2 linked regions of the Drosophila melanogaster genome follow. The protein of the gene in region 2 binds, or shares a complex with, the protein of the main gene of each other region. Each region holds a gene or a part of one and is shown on either strand. Other genes may lie near its edges.

What was found.
Region 1: the proteins of mxt (region 2) and eIF4E1 are in contact, whole or in part, in a crystal structure (PDB 5ABV), measured with the Drosophila melanogaster proteins. Residues at the interface, in NP_001260053.1 of Drosophila melanogaster: Val579, Ser580, Tyr581, Ile583, Leu586, Leu587, Tyr589, Ser590, Ser592, His594, Ser595, Trp596, Thr597, Leu598, Pro599, Asp601, Trp602, Lys604, Met605, Thr608, Ala609, Ser611, Ile612, Leu613, Arg614, Asn615, Leu618, Arg624, Phe625, Tyr630; in NP_001261626.1 of Drosophila melanogaster: Lys80, His81, Pro82, Leu83, Met84, Tyr91, Glu93, Asn105, Glu106, Ile107, Thr108, Ser109, Val113, Glu114, Trp117, Ser118, Leu119, Tyr120, Asn121, His122, Ile123, Lys124, Pro125, Lys130, Tyr135, Asn171, Leu174, Asp175, Leu178, Ile181.

Annotation. Positions count from the first base shown.
Region 1 is NT_037436.4:9,398,896-9,404,353, reverse strand, and holds eIF4E1 (eukaryotic translation initiation factor 4E1), read left to right. Parts: upstream 1-1,893; 5' UTR 1,894-2,050; coding exon of another isoform or gene 2,051-2,074; exon of another isoform or gene 2,075-2,437; intron 2,438-2,548; exon of another isoform or gene 2,549-2,697; intron 2,698-2,747; 5' UTR 2,748-3,257; coding exon 3,258-3,314; intron 3,315-3,400; coding exon 3,401-3,771; intron 3,772-3,835; coding exon 3,836-3,935; intron 3,936-4,169; coding exon 4,170-4,257; intron 4,258-4,320; coding exon 4,321-4,484; 3' UTR 4,485-4,736; downstream 4,737-5,458. UniProt on the Drosophila melanogaster protein: Recognizes and binds the 7-methylguanosine (m7G)-containing mRNA cap during an early step in the initiation of protein synthesis and facilitates ribosome binding by inducing the unwinding of the mRNAs secondary structures.
Region 2 is NT_033779.5:4,842,031-4,848,970, forward strand, and holds mxt (mextli), read right to left. Parts: upstream 5,266-6,940; 5' UTR 5,209-5,265; exon of another isoform or gene 5,134-5,208; intron 4,735-5,133; exon of another isoform or gene 4,686-4,734; intron 4,321-4,685; exon of another isoform or gene 4,249-4,320; intron 4,187-4,248; 5' UTR 4,014-4,186; coding exon 3,612-4,013; intron 3,546-3,611; coding exon 3,224-3,545; intron 3,129-3,223; coding exon 3,057-3,128; intron 2,743-3,056; coding exon 2,682-2,742; intron 2,617-2,681; coding exon 2,139-2,616; intron 2,082-2,138; coding exon 1,688-2,081; intron 1,629-1,687; coding exon 1,030-1,628; 3' UTR 554-1,029; downstream 1-553. Other genes in the region: CG11927 (uncharacterized protein), read left to right, coding at 5,825-6,940. UniProt on the Drosophila melanogaster protein: Plays a role in promoting translation.

The sequences.
Region 1 (5,458 bases), on a different chromosome or scaffold from region 2:
TATCTTAAAGATACTTTTTTGACCAATCGGAATTCATTGGTTCAGTAAGCATATTCGGCGACTGGGTGTCTGAAATCTGGTTTCGATCATCTTATCTTGATGGTATAACTAGCATTTAGATACCCATTTTTCTTCATAATTCTTAATTTTATTTGTTGCATAATTTATGAAAATAGTACGAAAAAGTACAATTTTTTATACAGGTTCTGTATAAGTTACAAGGTACCCATTAGTCGAAACCTTATTTATCGAACTTTATAACCTAACCACTTGACTATGATTTATTTACAATTAAGCATCTTTGAGCGCTTCAATTACTTTTTACTTCCAATTAATGCAAAGTATACTGCCTAAGGTTTAACTTTGACTCCGGGTTTCCTGTAGATCGGCGGAAGTTTTTTTGTTTAGACATGCGCCAAGCACTTGAAGTCCGCAATTGACTGCTGCATAATTAGATGCGATGCGATTGGAATAGAGGATGCGATGGGTAATCACATCAACACTTGGACAGGCGATCAAGTGTCAGTTCAATAAGACCGGCTCAAGTGTAATTAGAGACCACGGATCTTGGGTTTCGGGAAGGGATCTTGGGTTTTCGGATCATCGATCCAACGATCGTGCCGAGCTCTTGAAAGCCGCTTATTAGGCATTTACAAGGGCAACTGCGCAGTTGATCGGTTACAAAATGACTTAACTATTTAAATAATAAACACGCTTCACGTTTCTCAGGCTAAGTTCGTAAGCATCTTCAATTTTCGGATTGCGTCTCAACTGCAACAGTCTATTTTGAAAGTCAAGCGTTTCTAAAAGCGCCACATCATCAGCGGTAATATTATCCATCCCTCATAAATATTCCCATGTTGTTTTGGGATCTTTTGGCTATTTTTAAAGCAGACAAAGGCGAGCCAATAATGTGTGGAAAGAATTTTGGTTGGATTCAAATACGAAGCAGCTTTGGTAACAACTAAGGTTCTGGGTTAGTCATGATTCACCAACAGGTTAGACTTAGTTTTGTGGCAAAATTTAACCAATGACGTCCAAGTTCTAACTAAAGTAATATCGTTACTTTGTTATTTTATTTTTGGATATTCTCGAAAGTTTCTGGAATTCTCAAGAAAACTTAAACAATATAGAGTCGCATTATATGGAAAACTCATTGATTCATTCTTATGTTTGTTATTTTGTTATTAAATTCCAATTGATGATGCCAGTGTCTAAATAAAAACGAAGACCTAATTTTCAACCAAAAATCAGGTTTTCTGGGCTTGTCCGTATTAAACATTTTTGATAATTATTTATAATATATTGTTATTTTTTGCTGGCTTCAAAACATCAACAAATTGTGTATGATAAATGACGATGACGTTGTTGTTGATGGCGATCGCGCTGTGGGAATCAGATGAAATGTCAATTAAGTTTGCATTTATATCTTTGATTGAAGCTCTAAGATTTGCTTTGCCATTTTATGCGGAAGTTAAGCTCGGTCAGTTCTTGAAAAAGTTCCCATGGGAGCAAGTTATTTGTTTTTTGACAATAAGAAGCGTTTATTTAAAATGGCTTATTATGGCCTCAATGATTCCTAATAGGCGTAACTTACTGGTTATAAACTTGTTTAATATCGTTTCATTTTAAACCTGGATGACAGAAAATGAATTTCGGTTCAAATACAAATATTACAATAGAAAGTATGATATTTAGCTCCGATAAACATTTAACAATTTTAGTATTTTAATGGTGAAATGGTAAATTCCGCGCATGAAAAGAGATAGAAGAGATGACATATATGGAAACCTTAAAAACGTAACGGTTGCTTGGGTTTTATAACAATCAGTCAGTGACAGGCATTTCCAGAGTTGCCCTGTTCAACAATCGATAGCTGCCTTCGGTCGCTCGTCACTAACTTTCCTTTAGGCAACGGCCACACTGTCTGGCCACCAAAATCCCAAACTTAATTAAAGAATTAAATAATTCGAATAATAATTAAGCCCAGTAACCTACGCAGCTTGAGTGCGTAACCGATATCTAGTATACATTTCGATACATCGAAATCATGGTAGTGTTGGAGACGGAGAAGGTAAGGCGAGAAACGGCGAGCCGCATGGTTTCGATTTCGGCTGAGCCGTGGCAGGAACAACAAAAACAGGGTTGTTGCACAAGAGGGGAGGCGATAGTCGAGCGGAAAAGTGTGCAGTTGGCGTGGCTACATCATCATTGTGTTCACCGATTATTTTTTGCACAATTGCTTAATATTAATTGTACTTGCACGCTATTGTCTACGTCATAGCTATCGCTATCTCTGTCTGTCTCTATCAAGCTATCTCTCTTTCGCGGTCACTCGTTCTCTTTTTCTCTCCTTTCGCATTTGCATACGCATACCACACGTTTTCAGTGTTCTCGCTCTCTCTCTCTTGTCAAGACATCGCGCGCGTGTGTGTGGGTGTGTTCTTCTTTAGCTACATATACATAAATAGGAGAGCGGAGAGACAAATATGGAAAGAATGGAAAAAGAGTGAATTACTGCAATTAACCAGTCGCGAACAGTTAAATCATATTTTTGTCGGCCATTGCAGTAAATAAACCGTTGGCTTTCCCTCTTCACTTTCCACCTCCTTTCTTTGACGTTAATTTTTTTCAGTTAATCGCGCCGCTGCTTTGAACTCGAACACGAATTTTAGCCGCAACATAAAATAAAATCAAGTAACTCTTTTAACTCAAATATAAAACAACAATTCCAATTCTTTCAACAGGCAATCTGTGTTTTTATGTCAGATACGTGCGCGTGTGTGTGTGTGCTGTAATTCCATCGCCCCTTTCGATTCCGAGTTCGTTAGGAACAGCATTAGTTCGCCTATTTTAGTAGTAGCCTAGTCCGATTTTAAGTGAAACAGGATACTCCAACACCATATACTCAATAATTAGTTACAACACCCACTCAACCATACAGCAACAACAAGTTTAACGAGTTTTTTGTATTATCATTACTTAGTTTTTTGGTTAATAATACACAAGTGAAGAGCGAACTGCAGGGGAGCGAGATATCACGAAACAATCCAAAATCCACACACACTCAAACAGAAATCAAAAGCTTCGCTCTCTCGCACACACACGCACCAACCAACTATCAACTATCACAAACACCGCGACAGAGAGAGAGCGGCAAGTGAATCACGGCGAATCGAAACCGATCCGAACCCACTCCGGAGCCGAAAAAGAACTGATCCTACCATCAAACGCATCCAATAAACACGGCCGCCAACATGCAGAGCGACTTTCACAGAATGAAGAACTTTGCCAATCCCAAGTCCATGTTCAAAGTAATACTCTCAGTGCGCCTGTCGCTAAGCCAAGCTAATCTAATCTTCTGATTCCCCTTCCCATCCATTGCCATCTTCTCCCGCAGACCAGCGCCCCCAGCACCGAGCAGGGTCGTCCGGAACCACCAACTTCGGCTGCAGCGCCCGCCGAGGCTAAGGATGTCAAGCCCAAGGAGGACCCACAGGAGACTGGTGAACCAGCAGGCAACACTGCAACCACTACTGCTCCTGCCGGCGACGATGCTGTGCGCACCGAGCATTTATACAAACACCCGCTCATGAATGTCTGGACGCTGTGGTACCTTGAAAACGATCGGTCCAAGTCCTGGGAGGACATGCAAAACGAGATCACCAGCTTCGATACCGTCGAGGACTTCTGGAGCCTATACAACCACATCAAGCCCCCATCAGAGATCAAGCTGGGTAGTGACTACTCGCTATTCAAGAAGAACATTCGGTGGGTTTGCTGTTTATTGCAATTCTGCCAAGATAACCTTTACTAACTGATATCTCATTTGCAGTCCCATGTGGGAGGATGCAGCCAACAAACAGGGCGGTCGTTGGGTCATTACCCTTAACAAAAGCTCCAAGACCGATCTGGATAACCTATGGCTCGATGTGGTAAGTGCACAAAGAAACGAGTGGTGAGCGGATGGTCTATTTATAGTGAATGTACATTCTTGAAATGCAAAAATATAGAAATAGGTGTATGATTTTGCAATATAAATTATAACTTATAGAAAATATCAGCTAAAAATACGCTAGTGCTAGCTTTTGTCTTAGGAACATTCAATAGTGAGCTTATATCATAAATATTTTTCGCATATGAGTAACTACAACTGTTTTGCCTTCCAGCTGCTCTGCCTGATTGGTGAGGCCTTCGATCACTCTGATCAGATCTGCGGCGCTGTTATAAACATTCGCGGCAAGAGCAACAAGATATGTAAGTTTTCACGCACACCCAACTTCAGCGGAATTCCTTTGTTTAACGATTAATGCTTTCCAGCCATCTGGACTGCCGACGGAAACAACGAGGAAGCTGCCCTTGAGATTGGTCACAAGCTGCGCGATGCCCTGCGTCTGGGACGCAACAACTCGCTGCAGTATCAGTTGCACAAGGACACGATGGTCAAGCAGGGCTCCAACGTGAAATCGATCTACACTTTGTAGGCGGCTAATAACTGGCCGCTCCTTATTCGGTCCGATCCCACACTGATTATTTTGTCTTTCATTTATTTATCGTTATAAGCAACAGTAGCGATTAATCGTGACTATTGTCTAAGACCCGCGTAACGAAACCGAAACGGAACCCCCTTTGTTATCAAAAATCGGCATAATATAAAATCTATCCGCTTTTTGTAGTCACTGTCAATAATGGATTAGACGGAAAAGTATATTAATAAAAACCTACATTAAAACCGGATACTTTTGATCTTTGATTTTGGAGATATTTTAAAATAGAAAAAAGTTAACCTATATTGTTTTTGGGATAATTACTTGTTGTATTACTAAAACGAGCTTGTATCCTAATATGGGCACCTAAAGCAAAACTTCCAAATTTGGAATTCAATTTGTTGCTAAAAATACGTTAGCAATTTCTAGGGTGGCCAAAAAAAAATGTGTATCGATATATCGATAGGTTTCCTAAATAGACATTAAAATAATTTTAGCTTTTTACTTATATTGTTAGAGTAAATACGTTTGTATTTAAAAAATAAGTCAGTATTTTTTTTTTATTAACCTATTATTGAATTTTATATGAGTGAGAGCTTTTCCATTCAGCCAAGAACGGTCACACTGCATGTGACATGTTTCAATTGTGTAGGCGCAGTCACACTGGTCGCGTCGCTCGTAGATATCGTGTAAGGATATGTCTCCGTGTTTAGCTAAATAAAATACATAAAATATATGTGCAATTCTAACAAGCATAGCCATTTAGCGTAGAGTAGTGGAACGAACAGCTCGTACCGGGCCAGTAACAACAAATTAACAAGCAAACGCACTAAAGTTTGTCGCGGAATAAAGATATAATAATAGACCAGCTAACCAACACAAACAAACACACACACGGCCAGAAGTTCGTTGGCGTTGAAAGGGAAAAATGAAACGAAATGAAAGGAGAATAACAGTGCAATAGATTCGGT
Region 2 (6,940 bases):
TTCGTTGGTAATTTCTAGGGTTAGTTTGCATATTTTTCAATATTCTTTTTTTTTTGTTTGTTTTGTTTTGGTCGTTTTGAGTTTGCGATTGTTAGATGTGGCCATGGCCAAAAGCATTGAAGCATACTGCAGCTCCGTCTGGGAGCAGGCACTTCACCCCGGGACACTCTATATTGTCAGTTCGAGCCGCTCGATTGATGGCTTTATTCGTCCAGAGTCTCGACCTCATCGGCAGCCACAATGTCTCGCTTGGCGGCCGTCTTAATGCTGGCCAGATACTTATCACCATCGAAGCGCTGGCTCTCATCCTGCAGATCCTGTTGTCGAACAAAGAAATGGTTTAATATCTGATTTCAAAGTAACATTGACACGCAAGCTATCCAGGGATGAACGAACATATATACATACGGAACAGTTTAGTAACTAAGTTAGCCATCTGGAGTGGTGGTTAGGTGGTGATGTTATGATGCTTCGGTGGTAAAACACAAGTTACAATTTATAATTTACAATGTGTGGGGTGTGTGGTGGTGTAAGTTAAACCCAGCCAAGCTTTGTTACGGACTTTGAAAGTCCTGTTTATTAGTTAATATAAATCGTATTGATTACAGATTTGTAAATGTTGGTTTGAATTCGAGAATGTTTGTTTGTTAGCGGTTAAGCGGTTTCAACCGCCTTTCCAGCTTATCCTTAGCGACGACTTAATCTGTTTCACAGCCAAAACACAGATTCTCCCTATAGTTACATTTTAATTTCAATGCATTATATGTATTGTTACCTCTAAGACTAGCGATCGGTTTGGTTTCGATGGTATGTCGTTAATCTAATGACTGGATGATGATAATGATAATGATGTATTGACTTGATTCATTATCAAGTTCTTCACGCTTCACCTTTTCTTAATGATAAGTTATATAAAATTAAAACAGCAAAAATACTGACATGAAAAGAAAAGCCTATCTGTGACTGAGATTCAATAATACGTATTCCGGCTACGTAAAATTAAATTAAATTAAATGAAATTAAATGAAATTACACATAAACGCGGTTATTATTCGATTCTGTTTCGCACAGTGCCAATGAAAACTCATCGTCCTCGCAGTAGCGTTGAAAAATTGCCTTCACTTGTGATGTTTGATAGCTAGACTGGCGATGCTTTCCTTGTGTTGCCACCGATTGACCCACAGTATTAGTTATGATTTGCAATTGCTTGTTATACAGGTTTCGATCGGACACGGCCGATGTTTTGGGAAGGCGACGGTTCTCGCGTTCGGCGAAGATCCCTTTTGATTGCTTGTTAGTGACGGTTAGGGGATTGTTGTCTGCCGACGCATCGACAGCAGCTAGTCCAACGGCGGTGCTGATGATATTTGTGTTCGGGGAGGAGGTTATTGCATTTAAAGCCCACGGATGTGTTATTACTGATGAGTTAGGTGCACTGGCGATGATAGCATCGGGGATGTTCGAAGAGTAAGCCGTACGGCCAAGTGAGCCATCGAACGGCGAAATTACCTTGTTGCGCAGAATCGAGGGCGCTGTCTCCTGCATCTTTTGCCAGTCGGTGGGCAGGGTCCACGAGTGCGGACTCATGGAGTAGTAGAGCAAGTGTTCAATATCGTAAGAAACGCGAGCTGTAATTTAAGTTTAAGCATCAAAGACTTGGTTAAGCATAAAAGGATTGTAATCTTACATGCATTGCTTTTCAAGGAATTGGTGCCTGCCAAATCGTCCAAGTCACCCTTTTCCCGAGCGCCCTTGGTCTCCGGCGTGGACTCCTTGCGCGAAAAGTGGCTGCGACGCGATCTGGCCAGTCCATTCTGATTGCTAGTCGATGATCCTCCATTGCTGGGCTCAGCGAACACCTCGTCGTCGCCTTCACCATTGTTGTTCGCTGACGAGGAAACAACGCAATTCAGTCCAATGCCACTGTCCGTGCCGGGCAGCCAAAATTGCGGCGGCCCGGCTCCGGGAAGCGGAGTCGATGGCGTGGTCACCAGCGAAGTGCCGTCGAAGGCGGCGCCAGCCTCAATGGATGCCAGAAACTCCGAGCTGCTAAAATAGTCATCGAGCACGAGTTTGGCCACCTTGAAATCGCAGGGGATTTAACAAATTTCACAATTGAAAACTTCAACATTACTCACGCGCACTAGTTCGCAGCAGTCGCCGGTGATCTTGATCAGGTGCTGGCCCACGTTGACCGTGAACTTGTATTCACCTACGGAAGCATCGTTTGTGGAATATGAGTGCATTAGCAGCTGTTGATTGGGACGCAAGACTTTACCGGCAGCGGCTGTCGCCTGAGCATGTGCCGCCGCTGCTGCTGCGGCGGCTACTGCGGCGACCTGCTGCTGCTGTTGGTGCTGCAGGTGATGCGTTTGGTGGTGCATCTGCTGCGAGATCTGCTGTGCAGCAGCTGTGGCGGTCATGAAGTTTTGGGCCGAGTTAAAGCTTAGCCGGTTGGCCAAACTGCTTCCGGTTGGCGTTCTTGGTTGCACAATGGCGTCGTCCGAGTTGGACGAGTTAAGCGAGGAGCAGGATCCTCCAACGGCAGGAGCGGGTTCCAGGCGCACCGGCGAGGCGTTCCGACGAATGGTGTCCTCCATAAGTTGTTTGGCATAGCTGTCGTAGAATTAAAACATTTTGACATAAAGGTAAATTAGCTTTAATTTATTTACTTTACTCACTTAATTTTATCCTCAGCTGGACCAGTAATCTGCACCAAACGCTCCTTGGCACCCGGGTTGACTAATGAAAACAAGGCATTCATAATTGTTCTCGAAAAAAGCATTTATATTTATGAAAAATAATTGGGATGCGAAAACATTTAAAAACAAAATGCATATATACAGTATGAAAATATGTGATTTCAAAATGCCTTTAACGATCAATTTTGGCTTAATGTGGTGTCGTTGAATGGACAAAATCTGGAACATGCGTATTTATAATTTCTATTAGTAAATTTTGTAGAAGCCACCGGGCATTAATTGATTTAAATAAGCGTGCCAAATGAAATGGGGGTGCGGTGAGGATCACAATTAAAACCAGCTCTCTGGAGTTACCTCTTTGAAACGATATAATGGTTTCGCTTAGCTCCTCGATCATGTGCACGCGACGCCCCTTGATGCCCATTACTTTTTGGCCACGGGAATGGAGGAATACATTATTGAAAACCATTTCTGTAGATCTGTGTGCTCCAGAACACTCCTCAGCTGATTGAAAAACTTACCTTTGCCGGAGTCAGCATTGCGAATCACGACCTCGTCCTTGCAGTACGTCTTGCCAGGAATCTTGGTCGGTTTGGGGAACTTGCCCGAATTACGAATGACCTCACCGGGCGGCAGCAGCATGTGCTGCTGGTTGGATGTGCCCACGGCCGCAATGGCCGCAGCTTGGGCGGCTGCAGCTGCAGATGCTGCATTGAAGACGGCGGCAGCGGCGGCTGCGGCTCCATCGTTAACGCCACCAACACCGCCGCTGACGCCGAATGTGGGGGAGGTGCTGAAGGCGCCAGGCTGCACGCCGGCATCGTACTGGTATTCCGAAGGCAGCTGCAAAGCAACGATACATATTTGATCGTTTTCCAAAGTGAGATCGATTCTATGTACTCTACTCACCTCCACGTTGGAGATCTGCTGCTTGGACTTGTAGTACGCGATTGTGTCGTCATTGTCCCAGCTCTTGGCGCGCAGCTCGATGAGTTCGAGCAGCTTGAGGCGCGTCGTTATATTCAGCCGTTCGTCCTGCGAAGCGTTGCGGAAAACGACGAAGGCCCGGTCCAGTGTATCCTTGGACACCGCCTCCAGTTGCGGTCCATGCACCCGGAGGTTGTGCAGGAGCAGCGTGATCGATTCCGGCGTGGTGTTGCACGACTGAAGACCGACGGTCACGTTGTCTATCAACTGGATTAGCTCCTCGATCACCAGGTAGCTGTTCTTCAACGACGATCGCGATTGTGTCTTCAACGGGCGTGGCGCCTCAATGTTTTTCACGGCGCGTCCCAGGTGTGTGTGAGCCATTCTCGGGATTCGTTGGATTCGATATCGTCTCGTGAAGAAGTCTTAAGGTTGTCCCGCCTGGTGTCCGGATCTGCTGATTTCAGTCTATATGGTCTGCTAACTTATTCGTTCGTTTAAATGTTGTTGAAGAATTGATCAAAAATGAATCGTAGAAGCTGTTTCCGCACCTCCCCCTGTAAACACAAGAAAGGTTAGTTATCGATCAAATGTATTGTTTACATTAAAACTATTGTACTATTTGGATACATGCTTTCAGCTGCTAGGATGATCAAAGCCGACTATATTGCATTAGAACTTGGGAGTAATGGCCGAGAGCATGGACAACCAAAAGGTTTCTTAGGATATGGAGATTGGCCTCGTTTCCGACCGAATCTCGAATATTGCGACGCAAAGCTCTCGTATATCTTAACGATGTGCACGTTTGATAAGCGGCTTTAGCTGATAACACCGCGATTTATCTATAGTTTAGTGGCCAAATTAACCCATTGGCGCCTTCTGAGCTTCTGGCTTCTGCTCAGTTAATCGGTGCGAAGTTCCAAAAGCAAAATATGTAAATAATTGATGAAAATTGTTGGCATATATCGAATGGGAACGACAAACGGACGACCATTTGTGTTATTTCAGTTCGACTTTCGCTCCATGCGAACAACTCATTTCTTTTTTAAATATCACTTACTGCCGCTGCAGCAACAGCAGCAGCAGCAACAACAACAAGAACAAACAAACATGGGCAACTAAAACACAGCTAACAGAAATATTACAAAAAACTGAAATTGTCCGTGGGAGGGAGAAAGAGAGAGGCGATCGCTCTATTGAATCATATGTCGAGAATAGCAACAACAAGAATGGCCTCTGCCGACGTCGACGATGGCAGCGCAGTTGACGACCGTGTTGGGCGTAGAACAAAAAGGAAGTTAACTTTCAGGAAACAGGGTCTATATATCCATATATTGCATCCGTTTTCGGCCAAAATTCTCTGTGAAATTGAGTAATATTTTAATGGCACTGGCCGCTTTTCGTTAAAATAAGCAAACTACGCGTTTTGCTGGCGACCGACTTTGCACTCTCGTTCTAGTTTCAACACTTTTGATGTTTAGTCTTCGTCGCGCTTATTATTTACTTTAATGGCCGATTGAAACGTCTCTTAAAACGGTGTATTTTGGATCGTAATTTCCAATAAATTACTAGAGCTTACCAAAACCAAAATCTCTGCGACTGCGACTAAAATCGTTTTTTACGGTGGGTGTTGCCACCTGATCGAACACGTTAGATTTTAGAGATGCGCCACAGCTATCCAGACCAGTTCACGTAAAGCGCAGTCAAAAAGCTCACATCAATTTCGCATCACAGATGTGTTCGTATTAAAATTTAAATTTAAATATGAAATAAATGTTACGAAATCAGACACTTATCGCTGATAACCAACAATTCACTATGGTATCTGGACGCTGGGCAATTACTATTCCCCGCCGGTTGTGTCTGCATGGGATCGAAAATGTTAAATATATATTATATTACGTTGGGCATTAATATATCGCTTACTAGTTAACAAATGAAGATTTACTGGTATAGCGGAAAGTTTAGAGAATACATTTGGAAACTACTGTTCTTTTTTAAGAACAACAGGACTCTTAAGAAAATACTTCAGGGGAAACTCCCTAAAATTTTAAGCACGAAAATATCGATAGAAAACATCGGCTGTTCCTTCAATTTGTTGTTATTGAAATTTTTGTTTGCCATCGCTAAGCAAAACTCAAATAAAATTAAGTTGATATATTTATAAAGTGTATTCCCACTCTCTAAGGTGCGAGATGTCTGAAAACGGGGACGTGGAGGCGGCACCAGAGGATTCCAAGGAAGTCGTTCCGGAGTCCGGCAAAGATGAGCCTGAAACTAAGCCGCTGAAAATGTCGTTTGCAGATTGGAAGAAATGCAAGGATGCACTGAAACCGGATACCAAAAGCGGACTACAACGGAGCAACAATAACAATAGTAACAACAACAACAATAACAACAACGGCAACGGACGTAAACATTGGTCTTCGAATAGCAACAATGCCTTTCATGGAGGCGGAGGTCCGCAAAGCTACCAGGACAGGAACTATCCTCCGATGAATCGACCGCCTCCACTTCCTATGCAGCTGATGAACATGGGCTTTGGAGGCAATTTTGGGCCTGGACCCGGACAATGCGGTCCCCCCATGGGGCCAATGGGACCAGGAGGACCTCGCGGTCCCATAAGCAATATGGGTCCCTGTGGTCCCATGAGCAGTATGGGCCCCGGTGGTCCAGTGGGCTTTGGAGGACCACGTGGTTCTGGGCCCCGCCGGAATCACAATCACCGACCTCTGCAGCCGCCTCCGTTCTGGGAGGACATGATGTCGCCACAACATAGACCACCACCAATCCAACCGCCCATGCCCAAGTGCCCCAGCTTGTGGAATCTGGTACCCAAGGAGCAGGGAGCACAAAACAATCGCAGCAATCCAAACCAGAATAACAAGAAATTCAAGGTAAACCATCGCGGCAACAGTGACAAAGATACGAGGCTTATGCCTCCGCCCCCACCGCCAAGCAATGGCAACAATTCGCCGTCAAACGGGGAAGCGCAGCCCTCCAAGAAGCCCAAGCGCTGCGGCACATTTGTCCAGGTCAATGGCCAATGGATACAGAAGCCAGAGGCACCACCGCCGCTCGAGGATGCACCGCCTGGTACGAAGGAGGAGCGCCAGCGCCAGTGGAAGGAGTACCGTATGGCCATGAAGCCCTTTAAAAACCGTGAGTTCCACAACTGGAAGCGAACGGTGCAGCGTTTGGGGAAGCTGCCGCGCGACCAGCTGGACGAGCAGCAACTGGAACGACTACAGAAGGCCGAGGAGTATATAGTTGCGCACAAGGCGATGCTGACGGTGAAGCATGCAGAGCGC